Drosophila melanogaster: one gene and its partners. The gene in region 3 interacts genetically with the main gene of each other region. Each region holds a gene or a part of one and is shown on either strand. Other genes may lie near its edges.

Region 1 (6,999 bases), on a different chromosome or scaffold from region 3:
TGGAATCCAGCTTTGATTTTGCAAATGCAAATTGTGCATATAGATAAATTTTCCTCTGCAGGAAAAGCGTTTCTCATTTCCACCGCATCTGTTGCCAGCCTCTGCTCCACCTGTCTCTTTCTGCACCAGTGGTCCCTTCTCTTTCTTTTGCTCTTTTTTTTTGGGGGGGGGGGGCAACCCATTTCCGCACACGTCGCTGAATTTTGCACGTAAAAAATGTTTGAAACAAACAAAATATTTGTTTAATTTATTTTAATTTCAAAGTTGCAGCAGTTGCAGATATTTTTGCAGCAAGCGTGTGCGAGTGTGTGTGTGTGTATGTGTGGAAAATGATATGAAGGGGACCAAAAAACAAAAAAAAAAAAAAAACAGGGACAATAACAACTCCGGAAAAGTGAGAAAAACTAAGCCACAATCATAATTCACGCGCTAAAAACACGGAGGGAAAAGTGGGAAAATGGCGGGGTAAGGTAACGTTTTAGGAGCGCAGGCATTTGGAAAAGCCAGGAAATGAAATGAATGTGGAAAACTCAAAGGGAAAGCGGCATGGAAATACAGGAAAAAGGGCGACAGTTAGCAGGTAGACAAACGAAAATAAAAACCAAAGGCAGACGAAATAAACATAAAAACCAAAGGAGACGCACACAAATTGTTGCAAACTGCCTTTCGAGCACTTCTTAAGCAATATCCTGTGCTGCTCCTTGAGCATTTTACTGTACACACAACGGCACCGGGGATTTTCCAAGGAAAACTCAACCAAATTGGAATGCACTTCAAGGATCAACAGGATAAATGTGCTGACAATCAAGTAGATGGTGTGGGAAAAAGACACAAGACATGGCTAAAAATAAATCATGGAAGGGGCGTTTTGGAAAATGTTGGTTTATTTAAATAAATATTTAAATATTTTTAAACTATTTATACATTACATATATAAGCACGAAACCGCTAAGGTTATTAGTTCAGCCCATTTGCACATTACCAAGTAATTATTATCCTAAGCCGCCAAAGGTCTTTAGTTTTCCACCATTCCTCGTTGCTAATCTTTTAATGCGTTTTTAATGTCTGATCCCTCCGATCCGCGTGCCTGTTTTAAATGTCAATTCCCTCTTGGCCACTGTCATCAAATCTAATAATGCCCCCGAGTGGAGCAATTCCCCAGAAGCTTGAGGCCTAAAAAGCCTCCATAGAGAGTTCATTGATTTCTCGTTTTTTTTTTCGGTCGGAGGCGTTGACAGTTAAAGCTTCAAAGACGACTTTTACGAGTAGTTCGTATAAAAGCGTTGGAAAACGCGTGTCAAAGGCCCAATTAAGATGTCAAATCAACACGTTTTGTTTATTAACTGATTGCACACACACAAAACACGAGCTGAAAACGCGGAGAGCGCCATAAAGTTAATGGTGCAATATATCTTTTGAGGGGGTTAAAAACTCAGAGGGACTAGCCCCCAACTAATCGCCAGACAAATTAATAAAAAGGAACTGGCTGCTCCCCTTTTCGACTTCCCTTGACCGATTTGCCCGATTGAGTGGATATAATTCACATTTAAATTTAGCCCCAGCCCCCCCCCTTTGCCGACTTTTCCAGGGGTTCTTTAAGTATTAAAAAGCATTTTGTAAGCAAAGCATTATGTGTGCGGAAGGGAAAAACTTTGCCGAAGCGTGCCAAACTAAAGTTTTTCCTATACTTATACCACTGTGTCCTCTCCCCCAGTTTTGCGCCCTTTATTTGTGACACAGTAAATATTCTTGCATAATAACAGCATTTCCTAACTGATGCGGAGCATCTGGAAAGTGGAAAATTATGCTGGAATTTTTAATTAAGACGATACTTATATCTTTCAGACTGTCAAGTGTGGATATAGACATAGTAAATACATGGTTAATCAGTTTTTTTCATGGAATATCGACTTTACTTTAGCTACCGATTCAATATCTTCCTAGTAAATGCTGCCAATTGACAGGAGCCAACAAAGGGGTGGGCTGCGGAAAATTGCGTGGAAAATTGGGGAGGCTTGGGTAGCAGATAAAAAACTTTACGCTGACGTCAAGCTGCAACAACCTAGATCAACAAAAAACTAAAGTGACGTCGCAAGGTGACAACAGCAAAGGCGACTTGAAAAAACAGGGGGAAAATGCCGGAGGAAAGTGGCGGAAAAAGGGGAGCTGTCATAAGCAGGGTATGTCAAGGGCGGAACCGAAACTTTTAATTGATTTGTGATATGCGTGTGCCGAACACAAAGAGTGAGCTAGCGAATAGATTGGGATTTATCGGGAGCTATCAATCTTACCACCGATAAACAAATGAACTCAAGTGATACCCCCTATAGATATTTAAGTTCTGGAATAATGCTCGAGAAAAGCTGGGTAATCTTCTTAGCAATTATATACATATATAACTCCATTGCAAACAAAAAGCTTCTTATCAAACGAACAAAGTAAACTTACCGATGAGAAAAAAGTTGCATATAGTCGTTGCTGCTCTCCTCGCACTCCTGCTATTGACTATTGCCGTCCCTTTCGTGGTAGTTTTTCGCCTCATTTTGTGACTATATTTTGAATATATTTTGTATATGTTTCTACTGTTTTTGCTTATCTTTGGGTGCTACTCTCAATTCCCTTTGCAAAAACAATTTTTGCTACTTTTGCTGGACTTCTTATTCCAATTCGCAGTTAGTGGTGTTGTTGCAACGCTCCATTGCGTTGGTTAATGTTTTTATGCTTTCGACGATATAGTATTTTTTATTTATTGCACACGAAACTTTGAACGGATAGCCGAAAACGAAGAAGAACAACTGAAAAGGGTTAAGAATGGTGTTGTTGATTAGAAATTGCTCGGCTTTGTGGGGTTAAGATGTTGTATGTGGTTCCACGGGCATTCTTGTTTTTTATTAGTTATTCAAGTGCAGTTTATGTTTATAATCCAAGTCCTTATGGCAGTTGTTGTATTATCACTAATTCTTTTAAGTTGTATCCATCCATTGTTTTTTTTTTTTCATAAATTTGCAATAATTAATAATATATTTTTTATTATTAATATATCAAAAAAATTTAACAGGTTTTTTTTACTTTGTTTAAGTTTTCTTTTTCATCTCATTTATCCATATCTTTGCTTCGCCTTTATCTACCTCTCCTTTTTCACAGTTATAACTGCATTTATGCTTCACACTTTTTCGTGCTTGTTGTTGCTTTAGAGTTGCAACATGTTTTTATTGCTTTTGTTGTACTTTTGAGCAGGTAAGAAAATCACTTAAAAGGTTTCCAAGAAACACACCAATACACGTTATACACACAATCACACGCACGCATACACATACACACGAAATGGACGCTAAACCTGTTTCCCAGGTAAATCGGTAAAGATGTGCGAGTGCGAGGGGGACAGAGCGATCGTCAGAGATCGTGGATAAAACGGGAGGGAGGGAGCGAGATAGAGATGACGCAGATGCTGCGTTTTTTTCTTATTTATCTTAGCTTCGTTTCCTTTTCTTAAAGTTTTAACTGTTGTTTATTCGAAATAAATCTATTATTTTGTATTTATTGTTGCTTGCTTGCATTGTTTTGATTTTGTATACCGTTGCTTTTGGTCTTTCCACTGCCACTGAAACCACACACACACATACACTGTGCACAGTAATTTTGTATAAATTTCAATTTTATACCTCAAATTTAGTATATTTTCTGCGTTTTACCCAATAAATTGGGACTGTTGTTGTTGCTGCTGCTGAGTTGTTGTTCGCACACACGCGGAAATCGACGAAAAACGCGGCGGGAAATTCAGACAACGCGCGCTCACTTTTCCACGAAGCGTTCGATCCGAAATGGGAAAACACACAGAGAAAGGGAAACGAAAATTTGAGCCGCAGCCGCAAAATTCAAGTTCCACAACACAGTCCGCACAAGTTCGAGTCGAACGCGTTTGATGAGAGCCGTTAACAGCGCTGTTAAGTTAAGCTAACATGTTTGACTCGACTTTTATTAAGAGAACATAATAGCGAATTTCTCTTAAGTTTGATTATATTCAGAAAACAAATAATAAATGTTGCCTTTATATTTTAGGCATGTAATGTTTTCAACAAAAGAACCAATAAATTTGAAATAATTTTAAAATTGTTTTTAAGTTTAAATCATCATGTAGTTTCTTTTATATGTAACTTTTAAGGAGAAGTAAACCCATTTTGGAAAAAAAATTGTTTCATTTGGTTTTAAAAACATTGTATGCGTATTTATATATTTTATATTTTTTTCGTCGATAACGGACCCAAATGGTGAAAATGAGCCTAAGGCAGCAACGAATAGAAGCAATTTTGTATGGAAATTCAATTTGCCTTTAGCAACATGTTGCATTTTCCTAGAGGTTTTGAGTGCCTTTTTCCAAGAAAACTCGTTTCTTTGGCCAACAAGAAAAACCAGTCGGGAAATTAGTCAAGAAAAATATAAATAAGAAAAGCCAGCAACAAGTTGGTTTTAAACCAGAGGGAATGGTATAGTCGAGTTTCTCGACTATCAGATACCCGTTACTCAGCTAGTGAAAATGCGAATGCGAAATGCGAAAGTGTTAGAAAGTGTGTTGCTAAATCGATTCGGCTATTGTTCCTGATCCTGAATATATATACTTTATAAAGTTGGAAACGCTTCCTTCTGCCTGTTACATACTTTTCAACGAATTAAGTATACCCTTTAACTGTACGAGTGACGGGTATAAGAGTGGTGCGAAAGGTGCGGCGATAGTGTACATGCAACAAGTTCGAGCTTGAAGGCAAGTAAACTTCGTTAAGTTCGCACATAGCTATGTCCATCTCTTTCGCACCCCCTGTAGCGATCTACATTAAACCAGTTATCTTAAGAGTTTGTGAAGAGACCTCCTTCCTCTTGCACACCTCAAGTAAACCCGTTTTCTAAAAAACACGTTATATTCGAGACGAAAACCTCACTGCTACGACACTCAGCAGCTTAAACCTTTCTTAGACTTTTTTATGACCACACCCACGAGCCAGGTTACAAAAAAAAACTTAAAATTGTTTGTACTTTCAAATAACAATTATACCGTATATAGTATAGTATAGATAGTGTTTAGATTATCCACTAAAATCAGTACGCAATTGTTATAATTTACCCAAACAGTAGCACTAAGTCTTGGTATTATGTAGGGTTTTTTCTTCTTTTTTTCTTTTGAGAAATACCGCGAATGATTGATTTTTTCCGCTTTGTTTCTGAGCAGCTGAAGTGGCTCTGCATATTCAATATTTTTATTTAGCAGTCATGCCACGCGCTTTGCATAATGAATGCATAGGACTTACAAGCAGCCCAAGAATGGTAAATAATTTTAAAACAGATTTTCTGCTCGTTCTGTCTGTTCTGTCGTCGCTGTTCAATGTTTATTGAATTTTTGATTTGGGCCCCAAGGTGATTTCTCCTCATCATAAAACGCCGGACATGTCCCGCTACTAAAGACGCATACAAATGACCTTTGGGTTGGCGGGCTGGCCCCGCCCCCATTTCCCTCAGGTGAAAAGACGACTAGACAACACAACCACTCCCCCCCCCCCATTTTTTTCTTCCTTCCCTCGCTAGGAGCACACGAAAATCCAGCTTAATTATCCCTATCCCTTGCTTAATGTTGCTGTTTACTCGTAGATCCTGGTAATTTCCTTAGCATTACTTTCCTTGCATATTAATCGCCATAAATTTGGGTTAAAATATGTATTAACCATAGGGACAGTCACGGATAAACATTTTTCTACTTCCGTAGCTTTATAGATTACAAATACAACTCTTCTCCCTAAAATCGATTTCAATTTTCATTACTTGATATCTACGACTTCTTCTGAAAAGAGAGGCTTAGATGAGGAAGTCTATATGAAACTCAACTCTTAATTTGAAAAAAAAAAACATTTTCAGAATCACGATGAAGATTAAGAAGAAGGAGTTGAATTTCAAAAAGAAACTGGCTGGCAAAATTAAGAACCCACAACATGATCTGCGGTTTTGAAGACTGCTTGAATTACAAGTGAATTAAAGTTAATACATATATAAAAAATAAGAATAAAAAATAAGTAAAGTTGTAGGCGCATAAGATGAAAACAAAAAATAAAAGCAGGTAATAAACAAGACAACAACAAGAAGCACAAAAAAAAGGTACAATAAGAATATCCATGAAGAAGACGAAATAAAGTGGAAGATGAGAAAGAGAGACAGAGAGAGAAGGAGCAATTCTTCTACCTAAGCAACTTCTTGTTTTTTACCTTCTTATTCTCCTTTTGCCTACCACTTCTTGTTGCACTCACTCCATGTAATAAAAATTGGTAAGAAGTGATGGCGAGGGGTAAGAGAGTTGCGCCAGTTGAGAGAGAAAGAGAGCGAAGCACTATGAGTGAGTGAGATGGAACAGCACTGTCAGTCAAGTTCAAGAAGTCCGAAAAAGAAGTAAAATAAAGCCGCTTAAAAGACAACAAATACAAACAAATACAAAGTGCTACACTCGAGTGTTTCACAAGAAGGATTTTTCATAATATTTAAACATTAATCAAAGTTAATTTCTTATCACTACGCAAAGTTTGCTTATTCATAGCATCGATAAAATACGGGAAACTGTCTTTTCGCCTGCCTTAAATCGCTTGTCTCAAGTACCAGTCTTCAGTCTCCAGTCTCCTGTCTTCAGTCTCCTGTCTTCAGACTCTCGCCTGCAGTCTTCTGTCTCCAGTCTTCTGCTCTTCAAAGTGCAGCCTGTCGTCTGCTTTGGCCAAGTTAATTATGGGTTTGAGGTTTTCGAACCCAACTCCGTTCCGTCGGCAGCTGGCAGAAGGAGAAGAAATTGCAAAAGAGAGAGAGAGAGAGATGTCGAGAGAGAGAGAACGAGCGGGGCATTGAGGTTAAGGTTTGGGGCTAAATTGCAATCTCTATGAAAATTGGTTCAGCCTGCGGTCGGGGTTCGAAACCATATGCCATACGAAAGTACAGTAGAGCTAAAAAATAAAAAAAAACATACATTTAAATTTT
Region 2 (8,449 bases), on a different chromosome or scaffold from region 3:
AAATCCGTACATTATACGAGTACTGCAATGGTGAAACTGGCTAAAATATGATAAGCATGTTTGTGGAATTCAATTTAAAAAACCCATAGGGGTTATGCTTACTGACATGCAAATAAGGAAATCGGTAAAGAAATCGGTAAAAATAAAAATATAAAAATTAAAAAAATTATTTAATAGATGCAGAAGAAAAGAATGAATAAAATGTAACGCTTTAATTTAATGTAATTGTAATAATATCTTATTTCTTGGTAATAATAGAAAACTTTTTTAAGAACTATTGTCTCAAAGAAAGCTAAGACTCATGGAGTGCAAAACGAATCAAATCCAGTTTTAATGCTTATGTCTTATAAGTGAAACGCAATTTTAGTCTTACTTAGTTTATCGAGAGCGTGTTGAAACCGGCAACTATAATTATGAAATATGCTAAGAATGCTTCTTTTAAATGCTCTTTTTAAAGCTTAAGATTTATGGACCGCAAAACTAGTCGAAGTCATGTTTTCTATGCTAATGACCAGCGAATCAAGCGCACCGAAATGTCAGCTTTCATCAGCGCACCCTAGATCTGTGAGCTTCGCTATAAATCTGTCATACCCATCCGATCCAATCTGATCCGATACAAAGTGCGACCTTGTCTTTAAGAACGACTTTCGCTTTTCGATGCGGCAATCGGCGAGAAGATTGCGCCTGCCGTCGCTCATTTGCATGTGGGCGCCTAATTAAGGCCGTTGCATAATATTGACCGACTCTCGAAGAGCGACTTAATGTAACCGACAGACTAGCAAGCCAAGTGGAGTTGACACCGTTTAATGTCACCGAACCGCAACAAGTTGCTGATTGATGCTGTCGGCTCAAACTAAATCCCCAATTTGGTTCCGGCCTCGAAAAGATTACCGCGCCCATCGCCAAAAGTTCACCGTGTAAGTGAATGAGTTAGTTGCTAGAACAACTCCCTTCCATTGAAGCGTATTCGAATATAAATTATTCATGGCGAGTTCGTTTATCTTATCTTCCTTTCAACAAATCCATTATATAAATGACAAACAACCCGCAGGCGCAGATCACCAATTTGTACGCGTCCTATTTTTGTATTCATAACTATGAAATAATCATTAGTTCCTCCAAAACCGCATCCACGTGCCAATCCGGTTGCTGTTTTCAGAATCACAACATTCACTGATTTATGGATCGGAACGGGGCATTCATAAGGCCTTCATGACAGTCCAAATGCTTTAATGCCACCGCTGGCAGTTTAGTATCCAACTTAGTATTAAATCTTATTAATCAACTACCTGAACATTTAAATATAGTCGACCTCATCCGCCGCCAACAGGTGTTGGGCAATTAAGAACGAGTCGAAAGTTTCGCTGGTATGCATACTTCGAAAATATCATTCATAACCGACTAATCCATTTTAAAGGTCAACGAACTTACTGACTTGAGAAATGAATGGTTGGATCCATACTGACAATATGTAAACTTTGGGACTGCCTTCTGTGTCATCTGTATTCATTGGAACACAGTTGCCATCAGCGCGTTTAATTAACTTATCTGAATTGATTTACATGCATACCAAATTCCAAAGATCGCTCACAGAGTATAAAGGAACTTGAAACCGATGTTCGTTTCTTTACAATTATATATTTCAAGTTGCTTGACATATATACGTGCATGCATATATTTGGGCGTGTTTGCGGCCTGTGTTTGTTTGTTTTGGGTGTGAATCTGGAGTTTATGGAAGTGGAAAGCGGGATTGTTCACCTATCCTTACATTTTACGGGGATCACTAGGTGTTAGGAAGCATCACTATTTCTGAATTGATTTGTGCCGATTTCGGAACTTAATTTTCATCAAATGTTTGTGTTTAAATCGATTTATTTAGTGTAATTGTTGAGTTATCTTGTAAATACATACATTTATTATATTCCAAGTTTCTCACATAAACTCTATGTTTATACATTTTTTGTCGCTTTCATCTTGCAGTTTTGTCTATACTATTACTAAACCTAGATACGATATTTAAGAGGCAACCAAAGAGATCTGGCTTGAGATCCCTGGCAGCCTAGTGCGAAACGGACCGAATGAACAATTTGATTTATTGAATTAGTTTTTTTCCTTTGCTTGGGTAATAAGAAATCTTTCTTTTAGTTTACTGGAGTGTTTAATACATATACTAAATGTAAATATATATTGAAAAGGTTCGTGTGTGTATTTTTCTGTCTTCGTGTTCAGTTGTCTGTAAAGTTGGTTCGGTTGTGGGTGTCAGGGAGTGGGTTTCAAATTGGGGTGTGCAAAAGTCCTCCAGAGATCTTGAGCGTGCCCACAGCTAAAACCTAAAACAAACGAAAAAGTATGAATATCCCAGTTCACGCTGGTGATTCCTTTAACTTACCAGTCCTCTTCGCATGCCAGTATGGTATAGTGGTCATGACCACGCCCCTAGGGCCAATCCTAGTCGGTCTTTGTCTCCGTAAACTCCTCCAGGGCAAAAAAGCTGCCGCCGGAGGGGCCACCAGTGCTGCTGGCCGTGCTCGTGGCAACAACGGTGGTGGATGCCGTGCCACTAGATGCCTCCGACACTTGCACTTCCTCGCCGGCCGAGTCGGCAGCCGCCTCCTTGTCATCTGCACCTCCGGAAGCGCTGGCTGCCTGCTGTGCGGCCTCCAGGACCTGTTGCTGAACCTGGACGATGGGCTGGCCATCTTCCGTGTACGACACGGACACTGGGATGCGGGTACCATCCTCGCTAATGACATGAGCGCCTTCCTCACCATCCTGTCCCTGCTGGATAATTAACTGCCCCTCGGAGTTCAACAGGGAGGCATCGATAAGCTGCTGTTCATTGTTGTCACCATGGACAAGTACCATCTGGCCACTGCCATCGGTCATCATCTGGAGGGTTTCGCCCTCAAGTCCCTCGCCGGACTGCAGAACTCCTACACTTTGGAGCAGCTGCTGTATTTGCTCGGGATCTTGCACAATTATTTGGTTGCCTTCGGCGTCCGTCAGGATGTGGTTGTCCAGCTGGAGGAGATGGCCGTTCTCGTTAACAATGAACTTGATCTGGCCACCTTCCACCTGTGCCTGCATGGCTTCGTCAAGTTCCATGGCAACATGCTCGCCACCTGCAGCTTCACCCGCCTCGCCCTCGGCTCCAGTACTGGCAGTAACCTCGCCTTCGCCAGATTCACCGGCTTCAGCGGTCGTGGCATTGGCCTCCGACTCAGTTGTGGGCGTATCTGTAGCCTCACGCTTAGCAACTACGTCTCCTTCGTCAGATGGTTGTGGTTCCTCAGCAGCGGCGGCTTCCTTTGACTTGGCGCTTTCTCCAGCCTTGGCCTTGGCTTTCTCTTGACCTGCTTTGCTAGCCGTCTTGGTTTCCTCTGAGGCCTCAGCTTCAGCAGCTGCAGCCTCGTTGTCATCATCTAAACTGGGCATGGAAACCGGTGCGGCATTGGATTTGCTATCGGCAGAGGAGGCCTCGCCGCTTTCGCCCTTGGCATCGATGCTGCCCTGGGACTGTGATTCGTCTTCGGCTTGATCCAAATTTGGCATGTCAATGCTAACAGAGACAGGTGCTGTGGTATTGGGCGAATCCTTTTGCGATTGGTCTCCGTCCGGTTGCGGGATAGTAATGTTGAAGGTTATGCCTCCACTGCCCTCCTGCGAGGTAATAACCATCTCGCCGCCTTTGCTTCCCGGTTTGGGCGCCTCACCGCTCTCGTTCTTGTCGGAGTGGAGCTTTTCAAACAGGCTCTCAATGTCGGCCTCTGCGTTTTGCTCGCCGCTCTCGTCACCGGCCTTACCAGTTGCCTCTCCGGGCTCATCGCTTAGTAAAGCCGTAGCTGCCGAATTTAGGGCAGTGGCTCCGGCCGAAGTTGCCTTCTTGTCACGTCTGTGGGTCTCCATGTGGTGGTTGTAGTATGTCTCCTGGATGAAAGTCAGTGAGCAAATGCTGCACGAGAAGAAGCGTATGTTGTTCTCCGACTCGGTGGTTGCCACCACAGCAGCTGTCGAAGCAGGCAGGCTATCGCTCAGTGCCTCATCAATGGTCTCTTGAAGGAGCTTCTGGGTGTTCAGGTTCTGGCTAACTGACTGCTTGGGCGATACCGTCGATGCGGAAGGACTCTGATGCACTTCGAAGTGCTTAACAAGCATCTCCCGTTTCGGGAAGGTCATCGAACAAGTGCCGCACTTGAAGAAGTTGGTCTGATGCTGTTTGGCATGCACAGTAGCAGCTTCGCGCGTCTCAAAGCGCTGAGAGCACAGGCGGCACTTAAAAGGCTTAGGTTTACCAGCGGCATGCTTGCGCATATGCTCATCAAAAACGACCTTGTCCGTTGACTTGAACTGGCAATGATTGCATGTGTATAGCGATGTTCCAACCAGATTCTCGTTGGCAGCAGCTGCAGCGGCAGCTGCAGCAGCAGCCACGGGAGCAGCTGATGCCGGTATGGTGGTGGTGCTGGTCACCAGTACATTGGTAGCGTGATTCGTCTCCATGTGCTTGCGCAGGCTGTTCTCGTTCACGAAGTTAATGTGACACATGGCACACGTGTTATCCATGGCGGTATTGTGGTCGCGCACCATGTGCTGCTTCATGGCCCCAAAGTGCGGGAAGATTTTGCGGCAGGTCTTGCACTGGAAGGTCTGCTGCTTGCAGGTTTCATAATGCGTGTTGAACAGCCGCATATCCGAGGTTTTATAGTCACACGAGGTGCATTTATAAATCTTGGTGGCCTTGCGTTGGACTGTCTGGGTGCCTTGGACGCTGCTCTGGGTGGTTCCTGGGGCGATCTTGGACTGGCCAACTGTACGATTGCAGAATATGCATTAGGAAAGCTTTATAATTTCTGTATTTATGTACTTACCTGGGTTTCCCTGCAGGAGTTTACGTGGACGCAGCAAATCCGCACTAGGACTCTCCTCCAACGAGCGATTGGCGGATCCGCCGACCATTTTCTGCATCTTGAGCGGCGGACTGCCTTCCTGGCCCATATCCTCGTTAATGGCATACTTCTTGTTAAGCAAACTGATGAGGTTCGTCTTGACGCGCTCCACATCGTTTTCCAGGCGGTCGTAGTAGTTCACCAGGTTGGTACAGCGTGAGCACACGTAATCCTCGCCGCAAACAATCACGAGGAAACCCTCGCCCACGAGCTGGGCCAGTTTGTTGGGGAATTTGGTGGAAGTGTGCGTGGTGCACATATCGGTTAGCGAAGTCTGTGGCTCGCAGCGGTCATCGCAGATATAGCATCGCGTGGCTAATCCGCCGATACCCACGCCACCCGACTCTGCATCGTTGACCGCCTGCTGCTGTGCTACGCCGCCAACGGCTGAGGCTCCTCCGGCAGAGGCACCTCCTCCTCCGCCACCACCGGGTACCACCATACGCGTCGACTTGAGGATTCGCGGCTGGCTGGGACCGGTCACAGTGACCGCTCCGCTACTGAGCAGATTGTTAAACTTGCGGTAGGTGGCCGGATTCAGTTGGTTGTTCATTTCGTGGCGTTTTGGATTCAGGTGAGCACGCCGTAGTGATGGTGTTATTCGGTTTGTGCGGGCGCTACACGCGCAACTGCAAGCCGCTACCTTTCAATATTAATCGGCGATTACGACAAACTACACTTCTGCACTCCGGTTTGGCAGCTTGCTGGGATTTATGTATCGATCGGGTACGGATGAGCCACTCGAACGAAACAATCTATCTTTTTTGGACACCAGGAACAACAATCTCTTCCGTTTTTAATTTTCGGTTTCGTTCTGAGTTGTCGCGGCGTCACTTTGACTGTACTAAAGACTCGGTGCTGTATTTTTTAGGGTTAAAAATGCGTATGTGCTGTAGCAGTTCTCGACGGACGCGTATGGTCGTCTCGCTCTTTAGCATGCTCGCTGCCCTGGCACGGCGGGAAAACATGGGCTAGTCGTTTCACTCGCACGCCACGGAAATGGCGGCTGCCTGGGAGGTCAACCATGGTCAGACAGAGAAAATCTCACAGCGTTGCCGTTCATTACGATAACGTAATTATTTACTTGAAATAATAAAGCATTTATTTTTCTTATTGCGATTGCTGAGTGGTTAAATACAAATAAATACTTACTTGTTGTGCTTGTATTTGTAAAAGGTAAATAATTAGCACATTTTGTCTTGAAAAAAGGCTCAGCGTCATTCCTATCATGCAATGTCAAAATTAACAGTGCGTTTTGTAGACAGTAGAGGGCGCCTTTGCCCGCCCACTTTAAATTCACAAATATTCTCCTCGTAAATATTTGGCATACCCAACCTGTGAGGTAAGCATTAAATACTTGCATTTACGCAGTGATAAAGGCCAACATCACTAATGTGCTAATACATAGGACCGATAAGATTCCGAAATTCCAGTTTTACCTATTCGATTTAGGTATATCTTTTAGCCAAAGGAAAGTTGAAGGGAAGGGGGCTCTCTTATCAGTAGCGATAATATAACATACGACCTGATAAACGTTCCAGCCAAACCACAGAATTCAGTTAACGAACGAAACGAAAAGCGAGCGGATACCGCCTCGATCGAAGCGAAACATAAAAAATAAAAGCCCCTGGCCAGTTGGCTTTTTGTTATAAGAGCCATTATCGCAAGGTTTATCGGGAAATATAGTAAACGGGTGGCGAACTCAATTGTCCGGCTCGATCGTTCAGTTGGCCAACAGACGTCGCGTACTGCAAAAGCGCACTCAACCCGATCGATTTGAGTCCCGCATACGGGGCGTGAGAATATCTCCCAGTATCTGGAAACCACCCCTATATATCGAACAGTCACTGCAAAATGTATTCAGCACCAGCGGCAAAAATCAAGCACTTTGGCTCCCTTAAAACGGTAGCAGCTTGGGCCGGAATTCTCGGAGTGGTAAGTCGGCGCTGGCAATTCAATGTTACAGTCTAGGCCGCCAAGCGACCGCGACCCCATTCCCAGCTCATCGATAAGTGATATGGGGAGATGTTCGACCTGACATTGAGCGCACTTACTAAGATTGGATGGTCTCTCCCTATCGAATAGTCCAGTATTCCAACAGTCGGAGAGCTAATCATGATACGAGTATAATACTCATTGACTCATCCGGGACGGCTCCCAAACTGAAGAACTGAGCCGCACCACAGATATCAGATAATGCCGATTGACGTGTGTAAACAAGTGAATGAACAAAAGATCTAGATTGGGACACTAAAAAACGTAAACGTAAATAAGTACATACAAAATTGGATATTTCGCTGGGTATGAATAATATCACGATCTAGAAGCCATCCAACCTCTTTAATGACGGAACACGAAGAACAAACGATAAAACAATTTTATTTAATTAATTTTCAATATAAATATAAATTTAAAAAAACATGACAAACAAAAACCGATTAAAAATAGTGCTCATTTTTATTCAGTGTGGCTCTGACGTTTTGAGAACTCCTCTTATTTTATTGTTATTTTTATTTCAGGCCCAGTCCATCATCTGGATGGGCTTGACCATAACAGCGATATGTGCCTACAATTGTGTCCTGTATATTACAAATGACCTCACCTATGGCTCCATGGTCAAGACTGTATTCTTTGACGTGTACTTCAAGGGCAGTTGCAAGATGAATCCCAGTGATTACCAGAACTACGACCAAACCATCCTGAATACAGTGACTACTGTTTTTGATCCCACCCAGATTTTGATCTGGAATTCGGTCTACCTGGGCGTTTCGGTTTGCTGGCTAATCGTCTCCGTTGTGCTGCTACTGTGTAAGTACTTTAAGAACCGGAAATGAACTGCATACATAGTTAAGATATCGAAGCCTTTATGATTCACGAGGAGAAATCTAGAAATTTATTTGTGAGGCATCCAAAACTTACGCATGGCACACAGCCGTAAAGCCCAAATAAACAAAACTTGATGATAAGTTCGCTGGGAACTTATATGATGGGTTATATAACGATTTCATTAATGGTTCTTTCCCACCATATACAATTTTCAGCATTTGCTATTGGCTTTCAAAGAATTAAGCACATTAGCCCACAAGTAAACTGGAAAGTCTTATTCTTTGTTATAGACAGATATATTCATTCATACAATTCGTTTTCTAAAGTTAAAATATAGTAGCATGGTTATAGTTATAGTTATGACTCAATCTTAATACTGCTCAAATATGTACGAAACATATCTTATCTAGTAATTGATTAATTAAAATTTGTTAAGTGCTATTTACTTTAATTTTGAAACCAAAGTGATTAGCTTTTTGACACATTTTAGAGCATACTTTACTCGTACATAATGGTCTTTAAAATTATATTACCTAATGACTCCATTATAAGATTGATTGATGTATCGCCAATAAGTAAGCCCATTTAAGTATCACATGTTTAGCGCCCTGTTATGTTCCTGACAGCACTTGCCCGTAATGGATTACACTTAAGTTAATAACCCGCTTATACTCTTA
Region 3 (9,758 bases):
GCGAACGTGGAAATCGATCTGTCCAAGTCGACGGGCGCGAAGGTGCCCCAGGTGCCGGTGCCGCCGCAGTTGCAGCACCTGACCAAGCAGCAGCAGAGCACTCTCCAGACGCAGCTCTCCCAGATCAGTGCTGCCGCCGCTCATCATCAACAACAACAACAGCAGCAACAACAGCAACAGCAGCAGCAGCAGCAACAACAACAGCAAGCAGCAGCCAAGCACCAGCAGCAATTGACTGCTGCCCTCATCCAACAGCAAAACCGTGTCCTCGCCCAGCAAAATTTAGAGAAGCTTAGCAACCACCTCAGTCCGCTGGAAAAGCAGCGAGTTTTCGCCCAGCTGGATCCAAAGCACTTTGATCCCATGGCCGTTGCGGCTGCAGCCGCCAATCTTCAAATCCAAGGCCTGATGCAATCGCAGGCAGTGGCTGCCGCCGTCGCCGCCAATCAGCAGACTCCGGCGGCTACGACTACATCTGCTGCAGGAGGAGCTGCAGCCGGCCCGCAGGCCCATCACGGACACCATCCCTTGCCACCGCCATCGCAGTCGCCACACTCATCCTCTTCGTCTTCCTCTCATTCCTCGTTGGACCAGATTACCCACAAGAACGTCGCCGACTCCTTGCGGTGGGTGAGATTTATTAGATATTATTATTTTAAATTCTTTTTCTTGGCAAAACATGTGTACAAAGACTTATTTTTTTATTAAAACAAACAAAAAATATTGTATGTATTTGATAAGTAACGAATTAGGTTGTTTACAATATTATTTATTATTTGCTATATGTAAAGTAAATTGATCACTTTTAAATGTTTGCTTTAGGCCCTTAATTGAATTCATTTAACTTTTCCGATTTCAGTTCCAATCTGGACTCAATAGAATCGAATAAGGATCTGCTGGCGCTGCACAACGGAGCCTGGGCCACCGGCGATGCCAATCGAATGGATCACTTGGCCGTGGGTCAGGACAAGATAGTGCGCATCTTTGCGGAGCTGATGCGAAACATGTCGCGGATGAAAACCTACATACGTCCCTCGATGTGCAAGCCCTACGGCAAGCAGAGTGAGAGTCTGCAGAAAAGTGAGTACCTTGGCTGGGAACCGGTTTCGCTATCTGCGATGCTGACCGCCTCCTGCTTGCTCGTTCTCTTCCCCGACAGCCCTCATGGACACCATTCAGATCGTGCAGACGCTGCGCAACTGCCTCCCAGCTCCTCACATACCCGTGTCGTCCTGGAAAAGTGAGAGCGAGGGCAACGTGGGATCAGGAGTGAGCGCGGGAGTAGGAGTGGGTGTCCCTGCAGGACTTAACCTGGGCGCCGCCTTGGGTCTGCCATCGGGCAACATGCACTAGATGCGGGCTGGAGCTCATCGGGTAGCATGCAATAGCTCCGGATTTATCCACTCACATTCTTCCAGCAGTTAGAGAACACTTAGTACTTACACGCAGAGAAAAGCATAGATGATAGGCATAGCAATTTACCCTCGTAGGCGTGGCTCCAGTTTTCCTTTTAGCAATTACGTGCCATGTTCAACACAAGACTTGATTTCACATTTTCCACATTTGACTGACCTTTAGGCATACATATGTATCGAATCCCGCGGCTTGAATTTGATTCCCATCACTCTTTGTTTTCCAGTTTGGCATGCAAAATTATGAAGCAAATCGGCAAATTAGTTAAACAATTGGCAAAACGTCTGTGATATTTGAATTATGTTGGCAAACGGAAGACAAAACTAAATTTAATTTATTACGTTGTGTGCCCTCTGTTGTAATGTCTTACTTTTTACTTTGTGCAATATCTACTAAGCATATATTCTTAGCCGTTCTCGTGCAATCGACGACTTTTCGCCCATATCAAAAGCAACTCGAATGTAGCCTATACTTAAACTAACCTACTGATAATCGGACATGATAGACGCGTAAGACTTACATTATATTTTGCATTAGGACTTCAGAGTATCTGAATAACAATTGGCGGATGGCCGCGGTGGCGAAAGCGACATTACGAGTTGTGTTTAAATTTAAGAAGCTGAAGAAGGGTTGTACTCCGCATGCAAGGGCTATTTAAATATATATTTTAACCCGCCCGAGCTCACCATTACCAGAAATTCGATAAACGAGCAAACAGTATTATACGCAATAAAAAGACACCTGCAACCATAAGTATTTACCTAGCTGATGTGTGGGAATTTATCGTAACATACCATATTATCGCTTAATGTTTAACTTCTGGACTTAATAATAAATAAATATTTTATTCTACGACAAAGAAGAACTTTTCAATGTAACATTATTAACTGCTTTAAGTCATATCCTTAAACTTTCGCCTTGAAAATCTTTAAAACCCTACAGGTATTCCAAATTAATAATCTCAGGTGCTAGAAATTTAATTAATATATTTTGGAAACAGCATAAATTAGTGAAAATACAACATTGTTTTAATCAAACATTTTTAAAAGCATGTTTTCGGTTGCAAAGTTTTCCAATTTCAATCCTGAAATTAAAGTTGAGTTGAACAATTGCTATAAAAAGCGACCATTTATTACGTTTTATAAACTGTCCCGATTGTGATTTTAGTTGTTTATTTTATTTCATATTTAAAACCGTTACTATTTTAAAAATCGTTCGCTAAAGATTGTGCTTTTAAGCATTGATAACTATCGCTAATTGCCAGAATTCGTAATCTTATTTGACTTGAATTGTAAAAATATAGGATTTAGGATTTTTACCAAATAGATGTAGTTCAAAGAACACAATTCTTTTTATTATTAAGCATTTTATTTTGGGAGTTCCTTGCACTAGCTTTTTGCAGCGACCTGTGTGTAAGCTTACATTGAGATAACATTAATGTGAACGTGCAGCGAATGCAGCACTATAACATTGGCCAGTGGAAACATGATATTTGCTAGCATGCTGACTGGCGCCGTGGATTTTGACGTTCTTAGTTGACGGTCACACAGCGCACCGAGCTGCGTTTTTCGTTGATAATTTTTAAATTTATTTATTAGTTTATTGGTTGGAAATAGAGCTGCCCCCAACTGCCCGCTGACCACGGAATTATCGGTCCGGTCCACCGACCTCCGCTTTCACACACTATTCGGCAATCGATATATACGCTGACGGTAATTGGAGAACGTTTTTTCCATTTTATCTCCACCTTGTCCGCACTTCGTTTTGTGCTCTCTTTGTGCGCTGCCTCCGCTTAACATTTGGGCCTGTAAGAAACACATATAAGCAGAACGGCCCGCCGTGTGTGCCTGTGAAATTGGTTAAATAACGTACAGTGGAATGGGCCAATGGCCAAAATGCAATAAGAATATGTGTGTGCAATAAAAATAGGGAACGGTACCGTGCCCCAAAACATGAAAATGGTGCTAGACGCTCCTAACGCCGTGCCGAGCTGGCATATTTTGCTTAGCGACGCCGTCGGCTCCGTTTTTCCCGGCCGCGAACTTTGCGCGAGGAATTTACAACAAAAACAATGAATTAAATGGTATTTAAATTGTCCATATAATGCGGTTTGGAAATGCGAAATTGTGCCTAACTTGCCCAATGCAAACGAATGTTTCTCTTTGAAGGCCCTGCTTAATGACGTCACAAGCGTAGCAGAGTGCAACAGACAGACAACAATGACCGATGAGCATAAAAGTAACATTAACAGTAACAGCAGTCACTCCAGCAACAACAACAACAACGGCAGCAGCAGCAATAACGACAACAACAGCAACGACGACGCAGCAAGTAGCAGCAACAGCAAAAACAACAACACCAGCAACGAGAGCAGCCACAGCAACAACAATACTAGTAGCATAATTGCAGAGGCGGCCGCCAAGTTTCTACTGAAAAATGGCCTAAACGGCAGTAGCAGCACCAGCTACCCCCCTCTGCCACCGCCTCTGCCCGCCAACTTAAGCAGGACGACCACGCCCACGACAACGACAACGCCCTCATCCTCCAGCTCCACCGCCTCAAATGGCTTTTTGCCGCATGCCAAGACGCCCAAAAGTAGTAGCATTATGGCTGCGTCCGCCGCAGTGGCAGCCAGCGTCGTTGGAGCTACTGCGTCCAAGCCCACCATCGATGTCCTGGGGGGCGTCCTGGACTACAGTTCCTTGGGCGGAGCTGCAACAGGCTCACTGCCCACCACTGCAGTAGTAGCGGCGGCAGCGGGAACAGCGAAGATCGGCAAGGGAAGCAACTCCGGCGGAAGCTTTGATATGGGCAGGACACCAATATCGACGCACGGCAACAACAGCTGGGGCGGCTACGGTGGTCGTTTGCAGTTCTTTAAAGGTAAGTATCTTGGTTTATTTATACCGAATCAGAGCAGTGTAAAGAAAACCATTTTTTAACTATTCTGCGTAGATGGCAAATTCATATTGGAACTGGCGCGGTCCAAGGATGGCGATAAAAGCGGCTGGGTTTCGGTCACGCGCAAGACCTTCCGCCCTCCATCGGCGGCCACCTCCGCAACTGTGACCCCAACGTCGGCGGTGACCACAGCGTATCCAAAGAACGAGAATTCCACATCGCTGAGCTGTACGTAACACATGGCATAGTAGTTCCCAACGGATTACCCCTTCCATTTAATTACTTGACCCGATTGGAATCAGATTTGAGTAAAAGGAATTGGATTTTGAAACATGTGTAGATAGCTAGCTTAATCCGAGCGGTCAAAGCTTACAAACACTTGCAGTTATAAAAAACATGTGCCTATTTGACTTAAATTGTTCTAATGGCACGTAGAGGATAAAGTCCAATTTCGAAAACAAAAAATCTGTAAAAAACGACCGCACCTATGTTCAAATCTCTGATCTATTTTAAAACTGTATATATCGGCCATCTCTAATATTATATTTAAAATCTACGAAAATGTCAAACGTTTTAATGAAATAGTAAGAAAAAACCAAACTGTTCAGAATCGGTCATGTTCTTTGTATGACAGTTTTCCAATTCGATCCTATAAAATATAATGTCCTCCCATCCTTGTATACATTTAAATCCTATTTCATAAATTGTTAACAATCTGAATCAAACAAAAGCAAATATTTATTTATGCCAAACTATAATTAACTACTACAATTTGTCTATGTATACCTTGCGTTAATATTCCTCTTCATTGCAGTTTCGGACGACAACAGCTCGATACAATCCTCTCCTTGGCAGCGAGACCAGCCCTGGAAACAGTCCCGACCCAGGCGCGGCATATCTAAGGAGCTGTCGCTCTTCTTCCACCGCCCCAGGAACAGTACGCTTGGCCGAGCTGCTCTCCGGACAGCCGCTCGCAAACGACGGCGCCCCCACGAGCCGCTTACCACCAGCGAGGATCAGCAGCCCATTTTTGCGACGGCAATCAAGGCGGAAAATGGAGACGATACTCTTAAAGCAGAAGCTGCAGAGGCCGTTGAAATTGAAAATGTTGCTGTGGCGGACACAACCACAAATGAGATTAAAATTGAAAAACCGGACACGATCAAAGGCGAGGATGATGCTGAACGGCTCGAAAAGGAGCCGAAGAAGGCGGTTAGCGATGATAGCGAGTCAAAAGAAGCATCGCCCGGTCAGCAAGTGGAACCACAACCAAAAGATGAGACTGTTGATGTTGAGATGAAGATGAATACGAGCGAGGATGAGGAACCCATGACAGAGCTGCCCAGAATCACGAATGCCGTAAATGGTGATCTAAACGGCGATCTAAAGGCGAGCATTGGGAAACCAAAATCCAAGCCGAAGCCAAAAGCCAAGCTCAGCAGCATCATTCAGAAACTCATCGATAGCGTACCAGCACGGCTTGAGCAAATGTCGAAGACATCAGCTGTGATCGCATCGACAACGACGTCTTCAGATCGCATTGGTGGCGGTCTAAGTCACGCCTTGACGCACAAAGTAAGTTTTACTTGGCACAACCTGCATAAGCTGCGGTTTCAAATGTTAATCATGTACTGCAACATTTTTATTATGTTAAAGTTGTAAATCTAGTTAGGGACTTTCATAAAGAAAAAACTTTGAATTGACCACTTAAATATCTTCTTTTAGGTTTCTCCACCCTCTTCTGCGACAGCAGCCGGACGACTAGTCGAGTACCACACCCAGCACGTGTCGCCCAGGAAAAGAATCCTGCGCGAGTTCGAAAAGGTGTCGCTAGAGGACAACGGATGCGTAAACAACGGCAGCGGTGGAGCTAGTAGCGGTGGTGCTGGAGGAAAACGGAGTCGAGCAAAGGGAACTTCGACATCGTCTCCGGCTGGCAAGGCGTCACCAATGAACTTGGCGCCACCCCAAGGAAAGCCAAGCCCCAGTCCCGGCTCCAGCTCATCCAGCACTTCGCCAGCGACCTTGTCAACGCAGCCAACGCGGCTCAACAGCTCTTACAGTATCCACTCCCTGCTAGGTGGGAGCAGTGGCAGCGGTAGCTCATCCTTCTCCTCCTCTGGCAAGAAGTGCGGCGATCACCCGGCAGCTATTATCAGCAATGTGCACCATCCACAGCACTCAATGTACCAACCCAGTTCCTCGAGCTATCCACGCGCCCTGCTCACCTCGCCAAAGTCGCCCGATGTGAGTGGCAGCAATGGCGGGGGCGGAAAATCGCCCTCGCATACAGGAACCAAGAAGCGTTCGCCACCGTACTCGGCGGGATCACCCGTAGACTATGGCCACTCCTTCTACAGGGATCCCTATGCGGGAGCAGGTCGTCCTTCCACATCGGGCTCAGCATCGCAGGACCTGTCGCCACCGCGCTCTTCCCCAGCATCGCCAGCCACGACGCCGCGTACTGTGCCCAAAAAGACTGCATCGATCCGACGCGAGTTCGCTTCACCGTCGGCCAGCAGCAGTAGCTGTCCCTCGCCCGGCGACCGGAGTGCATCGCCCCCGGAACGGCGGCACATGCAGCAGCAGCCGCACCTACAGCGTAGCTCGCCGCTGCACTACTATATGTACCCGCCACCGCCCCAGGTGAACGGGAACGGCTCGGCCGGAAGTCCGACCTCGGCGCCGCCCACGTCGAACAGCAGTGCAGCTGCAGTAGCGGCGGCAGCAGCGGCCGCAGCCGCATACATTCCCTCGCCTTCGATATACAACCCGTACATATCCACACTGGCGGCGTTGAGGCACAATCCGCTGTGGATGCACCACTATCAGACAGGAGCGTCGCCCCTGCTGTCGCCACATCCACAACCCGGTGGCTCAGCGGCCGCCGCTGCTGCAGCTGCTGCTGCGAGATTATCGCCCCAATCGGCCTATCACGCGTTCGCGTATAACGGAGTGGGAGCGGCTGTTGCCGCTGCAGCAGCTGCGGCAGCCTTTGGACAACCGGCGCCCAGTCCCCACACGCATCCGCACTTGGCCCATCCGCACCAGCATCCGCACCCGGCTGCACTGACCACCCACCACTCTCCCGCTCACCTGGCCACGCCAAAACTGACTGATAGTAGTACCGACCAAATGTCTGCAACGTCCAGTCATCGCACAGCCTCCACTTCGCCGAGCAGCTCGAGCGCATCGGCCTCCTCCTCGGCGGCCACTTCGGGCGCCAGCTCCTCCGCAATGTTTCATACTAGTAGTCTAAGGAATGAACAAAGTTCAGGTAAGCATTCAATCAGTGCACCAATAATGGCAAGCAGTTTGATGATTCAATTTTCATTCCTCTGGGAATGTCTGAAGAAAATATATTACAGATCCATTTATTATGTTGTCAATTTAATGCACGTAAAACACAATTTAATAACGTTTCTTATTTATTTCTTCCTTAGACTTACCACTGAATCTGTCAAAGCACTGAGACATACACACGCCCCAGCTGCCCCAGTTTCTGGGCCAACCATTCGAGTTAAGAACATTTTCGCACTAGTAGCGCTTAAGACGACATTCAATACACGTAATATAATTTGATAAGTTCGCTGATAGTTTAGTTGTAACCCGATTGTTTAATCCTAAGCCTAATCCTAGGTTCTCAATTAGGGCCGAACATTTAGAAATCGCATACAAAAAGAGATGAAAAACTCAACTTTGTTTTTAAACCCGTTCCAGAACTCTTTATACAATCAGTTGAGAAATTTTATTTTCGACAAACTGAATAAAATATGCAAAGGAATTTTATTCTATGCCGACTAATGGAAAGAAATACTAATAAAAACATTTTCTATAGGATGTATAAAATGCAAGTCTTAAAGAATCTCAAAAAAGAGTTACGTTTTTTTCATCAAAACATTTCCTTGAAACAGACTGAACCTGAATTTTTTTAGAAAAAAAAAATGAAAAACTTAGTTACGAATCGCAAAATATAACATTTTAAAGTATATTTAACAAAACTACAAGAACAGATTTTTATAAAATGCTTGTGCCTTTAAAAATGGAAACAGAACTAGGGATACAAAAATTAATATTAAAAAGAAAAAGAAGTTTACTATAAAAACATTTATGTGCAAGCATGTGCAGGTATTCTATGGTGAAAACTTTAGAATTTCTTGATATCGTGGTCCAAAATGCAGTTGACAGGAATTTGCACTAAGCAGATTGTATACGACACCAACTTTTTAAGTACTTTTAAAAATGTATCTTTTAATTATTTCGGAATAATTATTCTAAAATAGTTAAAAGATAAAAGCAATCCAAAACTATACAACTCGTCTGTACTTCAAAACGAAAGAGATTACTCTTTGGTCTTACATTTTTTGGTAGACTGTAAAAACTAAAATTCGAAAAAATTGTTGAAGTTTGAATTTAAATCCTCGGCGGATCTAAATTTAACCTCCACGATTGTTGTCACCATCAAAAATATTATATAACTGTGCCTAGTGCACATTCGCTGTCAGTGGCTGTCCAATCAAAAACAAATAAAATGTACAAAAAATCCACATATACGACAAATTTACAAGAAACGGAAAGCAAAAAGATCCTAAGCAGACAATTTCAAACCGGAACTCGTACAACTGAAACTGATACAAATAAAAAACATATTCCTAACGCAAAAAGACAAAAACAAAACGCGGTTTCTCATATTTTCTAAATTATTTATATAAATCAAATGTCTATTTATATTTACTGATATGATAATGTGTAAGTAAATAGGTGTAATTGTAAATACAGTATTTTTACACAACAAAAAGTTAATCAATACGCGAGAAATAACCAATATATTTAATATAACTATTTTTATAACGGATTTTAACAAGTAACTGTATATTTTGTATCTGATTACGCAGAATAAAAAACAAAACGAATTCCATATGAGGTCAAGAACAGTTTGCACAAGGCGGCCTGAAACTTGCTTAAAACTTAATGCACTGAACAAAATCCGAACTAAACACATCTGTTCCAGGCAGATACAAAATATTTTCCAATGGAAAAATGGAGTAGATTCATTTATTTTTTACTAATCAATACATAAATCTTTCAGTTCGAAATTTTTAAGCAAGTTGCAGTCGGCTAAACTTTTTAGTAGGCTTTAATGAAAATTAAAAAGAAATATAAATACAATTTTCATACAAATTCCATATGGTTTCTACTACCTACTGATTAGTTAGTTAGATAGGCGTCTAGGGACTATTAATTTACATTTGTAACGGTACTGTGTACGACGTTTTTGTTTAACTGAACGGTAGTGTTTTTAATTTGAAATTCGATGTTTTTAGTGAGTGGCTATTGTTGAACGAACACATGTACTATGTGCATTGTCGAACAATGTGCGCAAACCCAAAAAAATAATTTTGGCAAAAAGTGAAATATATGAAGTAAGCAAATGGTTTCAAGAT
Region 4 (6,630 bases), on a different chromosome or scaffold from region 3:
ATGTCTGGGCGCCTGTTTCGATTTTGCGATAGATATCAATCCCCAAAGTAGAACCCATAGTCAATACGTAAAACAAGAAAACAAGCACAGTGTTACCTATTCGGAGCGAATTACTTATAAAGATTTATATTTCACACATTTTTAAGGACATTTTCCGTATGAGGGGCGCCCGTGTTATAAATTTACATTAGGAAATGTTGAAAAAATGTGTCAATGGAGCTCGCCTATTCTTTTTATGCATAGCTATAGCTATTAGTGGAATCTATACAGCATCGGTTTCTTGTATTGTACGCCAATCTCAACATTACATTCTAGACGTAGTACAAATGGATTAATAGTTGATGGTAGTTAGGCTACAGCTATTGTTCAATCACTGCTCTTCAATTAAAGAATTTTGATGTTTGTAAACCGAATTGGAAAATCTTAGCTTTTTGAGTAGCGACAAGAATTGCTGACCGTCCGCTCTACGGGCTGATTATTGATTGAAAAGTAAGATGATGGAAAGGAAAAAAAAAAGTTGAGGCTCGGGCTTCGGAAATACCTAGCCTAATACAGGCTTTCGGTATTTGAGGAGCGCGGCTTCTTTAGCTTCTCGAGGTTCTTAATAACAATGTCGTGCAGCGAGGAGTAGCGATTGCGGACCTCACAAACGACCAGCCACAAGCTGAGGTACTCCTTCTCGTCAAGTTCGACGACTGCGCGCCGATAATCATCGATGTGCGGATACTTGGCCACCTTGGACACCACCTTGGCGCGCGACAAGAAATAGCGCGATATCTGGTCAAAGAAGGCGGCCGCCTCGGATTCCACAGTTTGAATTTCGGCAAGCGTGTCCTCTTGAATGGAGACGCCAAAGTTGTTGCCATCCTCGATCTTGGGTATCATAAAGGAGATCCACATCTTAAGTAGATTGGCTGCAAAAGAAATCAATTCAGAAATTACTAGGTATTCATTAAAAAGCTTAATGTCAGGCAAAACTTTAGCTACTGGCATTTGTACCGTTCGAATGTAAAAATTCTTGGAATTCATTGTTTTAGGAAAATTGAAGGGGCTCTTGAATAGCATAAAAACATTTATTAGGTTGAGACGCTTGAATATACGGTGTACTTACAATCCTCCACAAGCTTCCTGATGATAGGCTTGACGACCTTGATCATCTCGCAGAGCGGCTTGTTGCACGGCACTGTACCGGCGGGCAGACCCATGACAGGCTGCCCAGAGACGATGACATCCACGCGCTGGCGCTTGGTGGGCAGACTGTCACGATCCTCCAACTCGTTTTTAACCAGGAGAGGCGGCAGGACCGGGATGTTGAGGTCCTGGTGCACTTCTTCGAAGTTGCGCTCGTTGAAGATCGGCGTGGCCAGCAGCTCGTTCAGCCGGACGATATTCTCCGGGAACCCCTTGGTGATTAGCAGCTCTGCCTTGAGGATCAACGAGTCCTTGTACTCCTGCACCTTTACCACAGTGTCGTTAGGCATTTCGTTAGCTATGTGGATTCCTTTTCGTGTCCGTGGAAGCCTTTGATCCTGAGTCCTGTCTCCTGGCGTAGTACCGGTTCTTCTCGTTCCTTATCTTCTCAATAACAATCAGCAACGCGGACCGTCTGAAATCGGCGGACTTTTAGGGACTTGTGTCGGCGGATTGCGAAATTGAAAGCGGGAAAACCAGACTTACCGACAAATTTTGATGCCCAAGCAACAACACGCATGTGGTGCTAGAGGTGGAAGAAAAAGAATAATCGATGCTTATCGATAGCGTCGAAGTTTGCAGAAATTTTGCAAATTAATACCCCACAAGTATCTTAAATATCTTGAATGTCAATATATATTTTTTCTATACTTTTTTTAGATTGAAAGTCTTCTAATTACTTTCAGTTTCATAAACAAATTAGCTGAACATTAAAGTTGGCAAAACATATTTAAATGCATTAATGTACATTGCAGTTGGCATCATTTATTTAAATGCAACAGCTGAAGCTCGCTTCTCATTTACCATGTTAAACTTGCATATACTTTGTTGTAACGTGATTAGAATTTAACGGATATATATCATGAAATATAAAGAAATAAGACGCGCGCCATTTATCGATAGTCTTGTGTGCACCGCGTGCCAGACCGATAGATTTGTTTAAATACCAAGTAAGTTTATTATGTCTCCCTTTGTGCAATTTAAAATGTTTTCATTTAAATATCTATATTTTTAAAATATTTTCCATATATATATATTATAAGTAATATTAAGCTATTAATATTTTTAGAGCAAACACGCTATAAATAAGTGTGCCCAAATATAAGTTTTAGTATACATCGGCATTCTTATCAATAATCGTCAAACTGACGTTTTCTCGCTTCACCATTATCGATTCTCATCGATGTTTTTCCAGCTCTATCTAGTTGGCATCTCGTTAGTTGCGATAGTTGGCATGTTACGTGTGTTTTCGGCTTCGTCGCTTCATTCTCGTCTCGTTCTCGTTTCCTTCCTCCTTTATTCCGATTCCTCGTTTTGCGTGTATTGCGCGGTACAACGCATACGAACAAATTTATCCGAAGCGAAATACCGCGTGCAGCAACAAAAGAAAAACACACTCAACAACAACAACACACACGCATGCACACACGCATGCAGTCATTATCGCAACACCAATAACAACAGGAAGAACAACAACAACAAAAACATTTCTAACGCGCTGAAAATTGCGGAGTCCAGCCTTTTATATTTGCTGCATTTGCTATCTAACTTGCCGCACAATTGTTCTGTTCCGTTGACAGCATCAAAAACGCATTGTTAAAAAGAAATTAATATATAAATTTTAAACAAAACACAAAAAAAAACCAAGAAAAGAACGAAAAACGCGTGGGTGCGCGGTCTGTTGATTTTTTTTTTGTGGTTAACAACAACAACAAGAACCATCGGAGGGACGAACATCAAGAACAACCACCGTTAGCAGTAAGCAGGAGAATCAAAATGGTAAGTTTAAGTTAGCTGGCTTTTTTGTTGTTGCCGTCAATAGCATGACTTAATATAAATTTCTTTGTTGCTAAATTTTGACACACTCACATTTACCCACACACACATGCATAAAACAAAAACAAAGCGGCTGCAGAAGCTGATGAAGGAGAATAATAATGAGAAGAAGGAGCAGTAGCCAACTCATTCAATAATTGTTGTTTCTCCTTTTCTTGCGCCTTTCGCTCTTTCCTCGTCCACCCATTTTGTTGTTGTTGCTGTTTTTTTTATCTGCAATTGTTTTCTTCTGTAATTTCTAAGGATGCATTTTATATCGCAGATTCGCGTGGCCTGGAACCATGTGTTTTTCTCTCCCTCTCATACTCCCTCTTAGCGCTCGCCCCTCTCTTTCGTGCACACACGCTGAGTTTAGTTTTGGCGTTTTTTCCCCCGCACACGAGTTAAACGAATTCAGTCGACAAAAGTTGCGCTAGGTTAGGGTTAAGGCCATGCGACTCAGGGGCAACATGTGGGTTAAGACCATGGGCGGGGTATGGGGCTATGGGTCTATGGTGCATCATTGAATTGAGGATGACAACTATTTTTCAGGGGGCGGCATCGTTTTGAATGTTATCAAAACTATGACCATACAATTTCTATTTCTACAAATGTAATTTAAATTATATAGTCCGTAATAGTGTTGCTAATCTATTCAAAGAATCATTTTTTATAAAATATGTTAATAATATTTATTTGTATCATCAATTACTGGAAATTTGATATACTTATGCCAGCTTTTGACTACTCAAGTGTTTTACAAGTACCGCAGCTTTACAGTGATTGATTTGTGAAATGCTTATGCTTTTGTTTACGTGCAAAGAAAATAACTTTAATTCCTCTCAAAATGCACATATTTGTTATCTAAATTATCCTTATCCCTATGATATAATAATACGATTCACAATTTGTTTTCTTGATAAAGAAATAGATTTGATTATCGTTTATTTACCCGGATTTATTCGTTATTATTCCAAGTTTTTTTTTCCTCACACTTGTTGCTCGGCATGAGCGACGGAACCCCTGGCAGAGACTCAAACCACTCACGCAAAAGTTCGATAGAATCCCCGCTAAGGGGTTTCCACTGTAGAACTGCAGTTGGTGCAGCTGCAGCTCAGAAATGCATCCTGAGAAATGCGAGTTGCCCCTCCCACACAAGCTGCGCTGCTTTTCCTCTGCTGCAGCCAGAGCATTTCTGATTGGGGAGGGTGGGTAAGTGGTCCTACGAGCCGTGTTATGTATCGCCGTGTCCGCTTTGGCCAATGCATTCCGAGTTTTTTGGCGCCTGCGCTTTCACATTTCCCTCGGCCCGGTCAACATCTCTTTGCCAACTCCTGGGAGCGGGAGCCTTTATTAGCTAAATCTCTCCCCATTTTTGTAACATTTTTCAGGTCTATTTTCCTTGGCCTTTGTTTGTGTCCTTTTTTGTCCGTTTTTATCTGCACCTTTTGTTTTTATTTTTTCATTCGCCTACCCTGCTGATAAGGGTTAATGTTGTGGCTGTTTATTTTTCGTAATTCATACCAACTTTTTTTTTTTTTTTTTTTTTGGCAACAACATGTTGATGTTTCTATTTGTGCGAGAGGGTGGTTGATGGAAACACATGTTTTTGGCCACAGATTTTCAACATTTCCCTTGTTGCAAGGTCATTCGTTTTGATTTTATTTTGTGTGTCAACAAAAATGTTGCAATCCATTAACAGGCGGAGGTGTGGATGAAATATTGCGGAGTTAGAATTGATTTGGGAGTGAGAACTATGTTTTCGTTGAGGAATGCATTTCAGATGCTAATAGCGAATTCTTATTTTTATCTTTTGAGCCTAATTAAATGACTTCAATGTAAATGATTAATTAATTAAGTATCTAGTATCTATCTATCCTAGCCAAATACAATATAATAATATTCATTTTAAAGAGGTGATTACTTGAGTTAAGCTGGTTTTTGAAATCTGATTGGAAAAATGTTGAGAATATATCGCACTGTCGTAGATCAGTTTTTATAGTGATCGATCATTCCAGCGGACGTTCACTGTCCTCACTGCATTTGTTTGTCTCGGCTGCTTCTGTTTGCTTTGCTTTTGGCCCAAGTCCCTTGCCAGTTGTTTTATCCCGGAGCACACAGAGGTACACGGTATATATGTTTGAACGCATATAGCCAGCGAACGAGCCAACCAGACCCGTCGCCACCCTCCGGCGCCCACCAGCACCCTACCCCTTCCCCAAGGACGTGCCCACATCCACAGCCACAGCAGTCTGTCTTGCTCTAATTGCTGTACATGCGCTGCAGATTGCTGCTCCTCCTGGCACCCCCCCCCCCCTCATCCTCCACAACTTTCGACCTGCTCCAGTCCCCCTGACCAACCCCTTTGGCCGCATTCAGCTGCCAACTGAGCCAAAACCCTTTGGTTTAAAGGGGTTGGGGTTGAGAGGGTGGCTAGAAGGGTTGAGGGGGTGGTGTGGTGGGTGGGCCGTGGGATGCGGGATGTGGGGTTTCTGGGAGCAGAGAAAGCACATGCATATTACGCATAAAGGAGGAAACTTCGTATCTCTGCATGCCAAACATTTTGTTGTTGCTACTTCGTTTAATTTCCACAAGCGGAGGGGGTGGGAAAATGCCAACCCCTTTTTCGTTCTAAAGTGGGGCACTGTGGTCCGCGACCATTTTGTGTTATGAAAAGGTTAGAATGGAATAAATCTTAGTTTGGTAGATACGATAGTTATCTTAGTGACTTCTTCAAACTCTAGTTGGAAGATAAAAACAAGATAATGAATAAATTTATTTTAATAAAATAAGCAAAGAAACAAACTCAATTTATAATCCATATATTAAAAAAAATAATAATAATAATAATAAAATAGGAAATATTTCTTTATTGATGATACCTGTATGGCAATTAACTAATTAATTGGGACATGCTGCTTCGCACTTAACCCACTGTGTCCTTCGCCAAGGGGTTGGCCTCTCGCGTTTGTTTATCGGCCTGTTCCCAGTTCTACGTTCTACGTTCTACGTTCTCCGTTCTTGCCTTTCGTCGTCCTGACCGTGGAGAGATGTTGGCCAAAAACCCACCCCATTGGGCGGGCCCGTAGCACCCATAACACCCTGCTTAACCCGTTGGTAACCCCGTTTAACCCCTCCTGTCGCTGGCCGTCGAAAAACTGCAGCCCAAACTTTGCTTGTACTATGTGCGATGTGCTCGTGCTCGCTGTGAAATTTCCATTTTGGGTTTGTTTTCGGTGGTATTCCAAACTGGCTGGCAAACTGGCAAAGTGGCCCATGGCTGCTCGACAACTCCGGTCTTCGAACTCCGGTCGAGGTTTTTGGGTAGTTGGCTCCCACACGAGCATCGAGCCAGTCGCACAGTTTCCCGAACTCTGAAAAATAGTGCCCATAATTTGTGAACAAAGAGGTGGTTCCAGTTTACTTGGTTGCTTTAGTTTGCCCAGTGGTTCTCAGTATCAGATCCCAGGATCTTCCGCAGAACCTCATCCAACCGGCGACGCAAAGCATCTGACCGTTGGTCCTGCATTTTTCTACCCAAAACTCTGTGAGTGTGCGCTCCTTTTATATATTTATTTTTATATATATGTATATACATATCCCTTTCCCTGGCATTTTATATCT

The links.
Region 1: of H (region 3) and ed, changing one suppresses a phenotype caused by changing the other (phenotypic suppression), as found in Drosophila melanogaster (3 studies listed by BioGRID).
Region 2: of H (region 3) and pzg, changing one suppresses a phenotype caused by changing the other (phenotypic suppression), as found in Drosophila melanogaster (2 studies listed by BioGRID).
Region 4: of H (region 3) and sno, changing one suppresses a phenotype caused by changing the other (phenotypic suppression), as found in Drosophila melanogaster (2 studies listed by BioGRID).

What each region holds. Positions count from the first base shown.
Region 1 is NT_033779.5:4,028,219-4,035,217, reverse strand, and holds the start of ed (echinoid), read right to left. Parts: upstream 3,842-6,999; 5' UTR 3,663-3,841; intron 2,796-3,662; 5' UTR 2,543-2,795; coding exon 2,449-2,542; intron 1-2,448.
Region 2 is NT_037436.4:21,283,487-21,291,935, reverse strand, and holds pzg (putzig), read right to left. Parts: upstream 5,838-8,449; 5' UTR 5,500-5,837; coding exon 4,869-5,499; intron 4,809-4,868; coding exon 2,449-4,808; 3' UTR 2,390-2,448; intron 2,331-2,389; 3' UTR 1,626-2,330; downstream 1-1,625. Other genes in the region: CG12974 (uncharacterized protein), read left to right, coding at 6,801-6,881, 7,466-7,754.
Region 3 is NT_033777.3:20,619,003-20,628,760, forward strand, and holds the start of H (hairless), read left to right. Parts: upstream 1-2,935; 5' UTR 2,936-3,493; coding exon 3,494-3,496; exon of another isoform or gene 3,497-3,581; coding exon 3,582-4,296; intron 4,297-4,368; coding exon 4,369-4,542; intron 4,543-5,128; coding exon 5,129-5,889; intron 5,890-6,039; coding exon 6,040-7,591; intron 7,592-7,757; coding exon 7,758-7,786; 3' UTR 7,787-9,758. Other genes in the region: CG5466 (uncharacterized protein), read left to right, coding at 1-626, 860-1,080, 1,160-1,353. UniProt on the Drosophila melanogaster protein: Is a potent antagonist of neurogenic gene activity during sensory organ development. The expression of distinct cell fates by the trichogen (shaft) / tormogen (socket) sister cell pair depends on the level of H activity.
Region 4 is NC_004354.4:13,207,440-13,214,069, reverse strand, and holds the start of sno (strawberry notch), read left to right. Parts: upstream 1-2,395; 5' UTR 2,396-2,967; coding exon 2,968-2,970; intron 2,971-6,630. Other genes in the region: REG (proteasome regulator gamma), read right to left, coding at 547-914, 1,112-1,481. UniProt on the Drosophila melanogaster protein: Notch pathway component, may contribute to the specificity between lateral and inductive Notch signaling pathways in the wing disk. Required during many developmental stages including oogenesis, embryogenesis and imaginal development of the eye, wing and leg.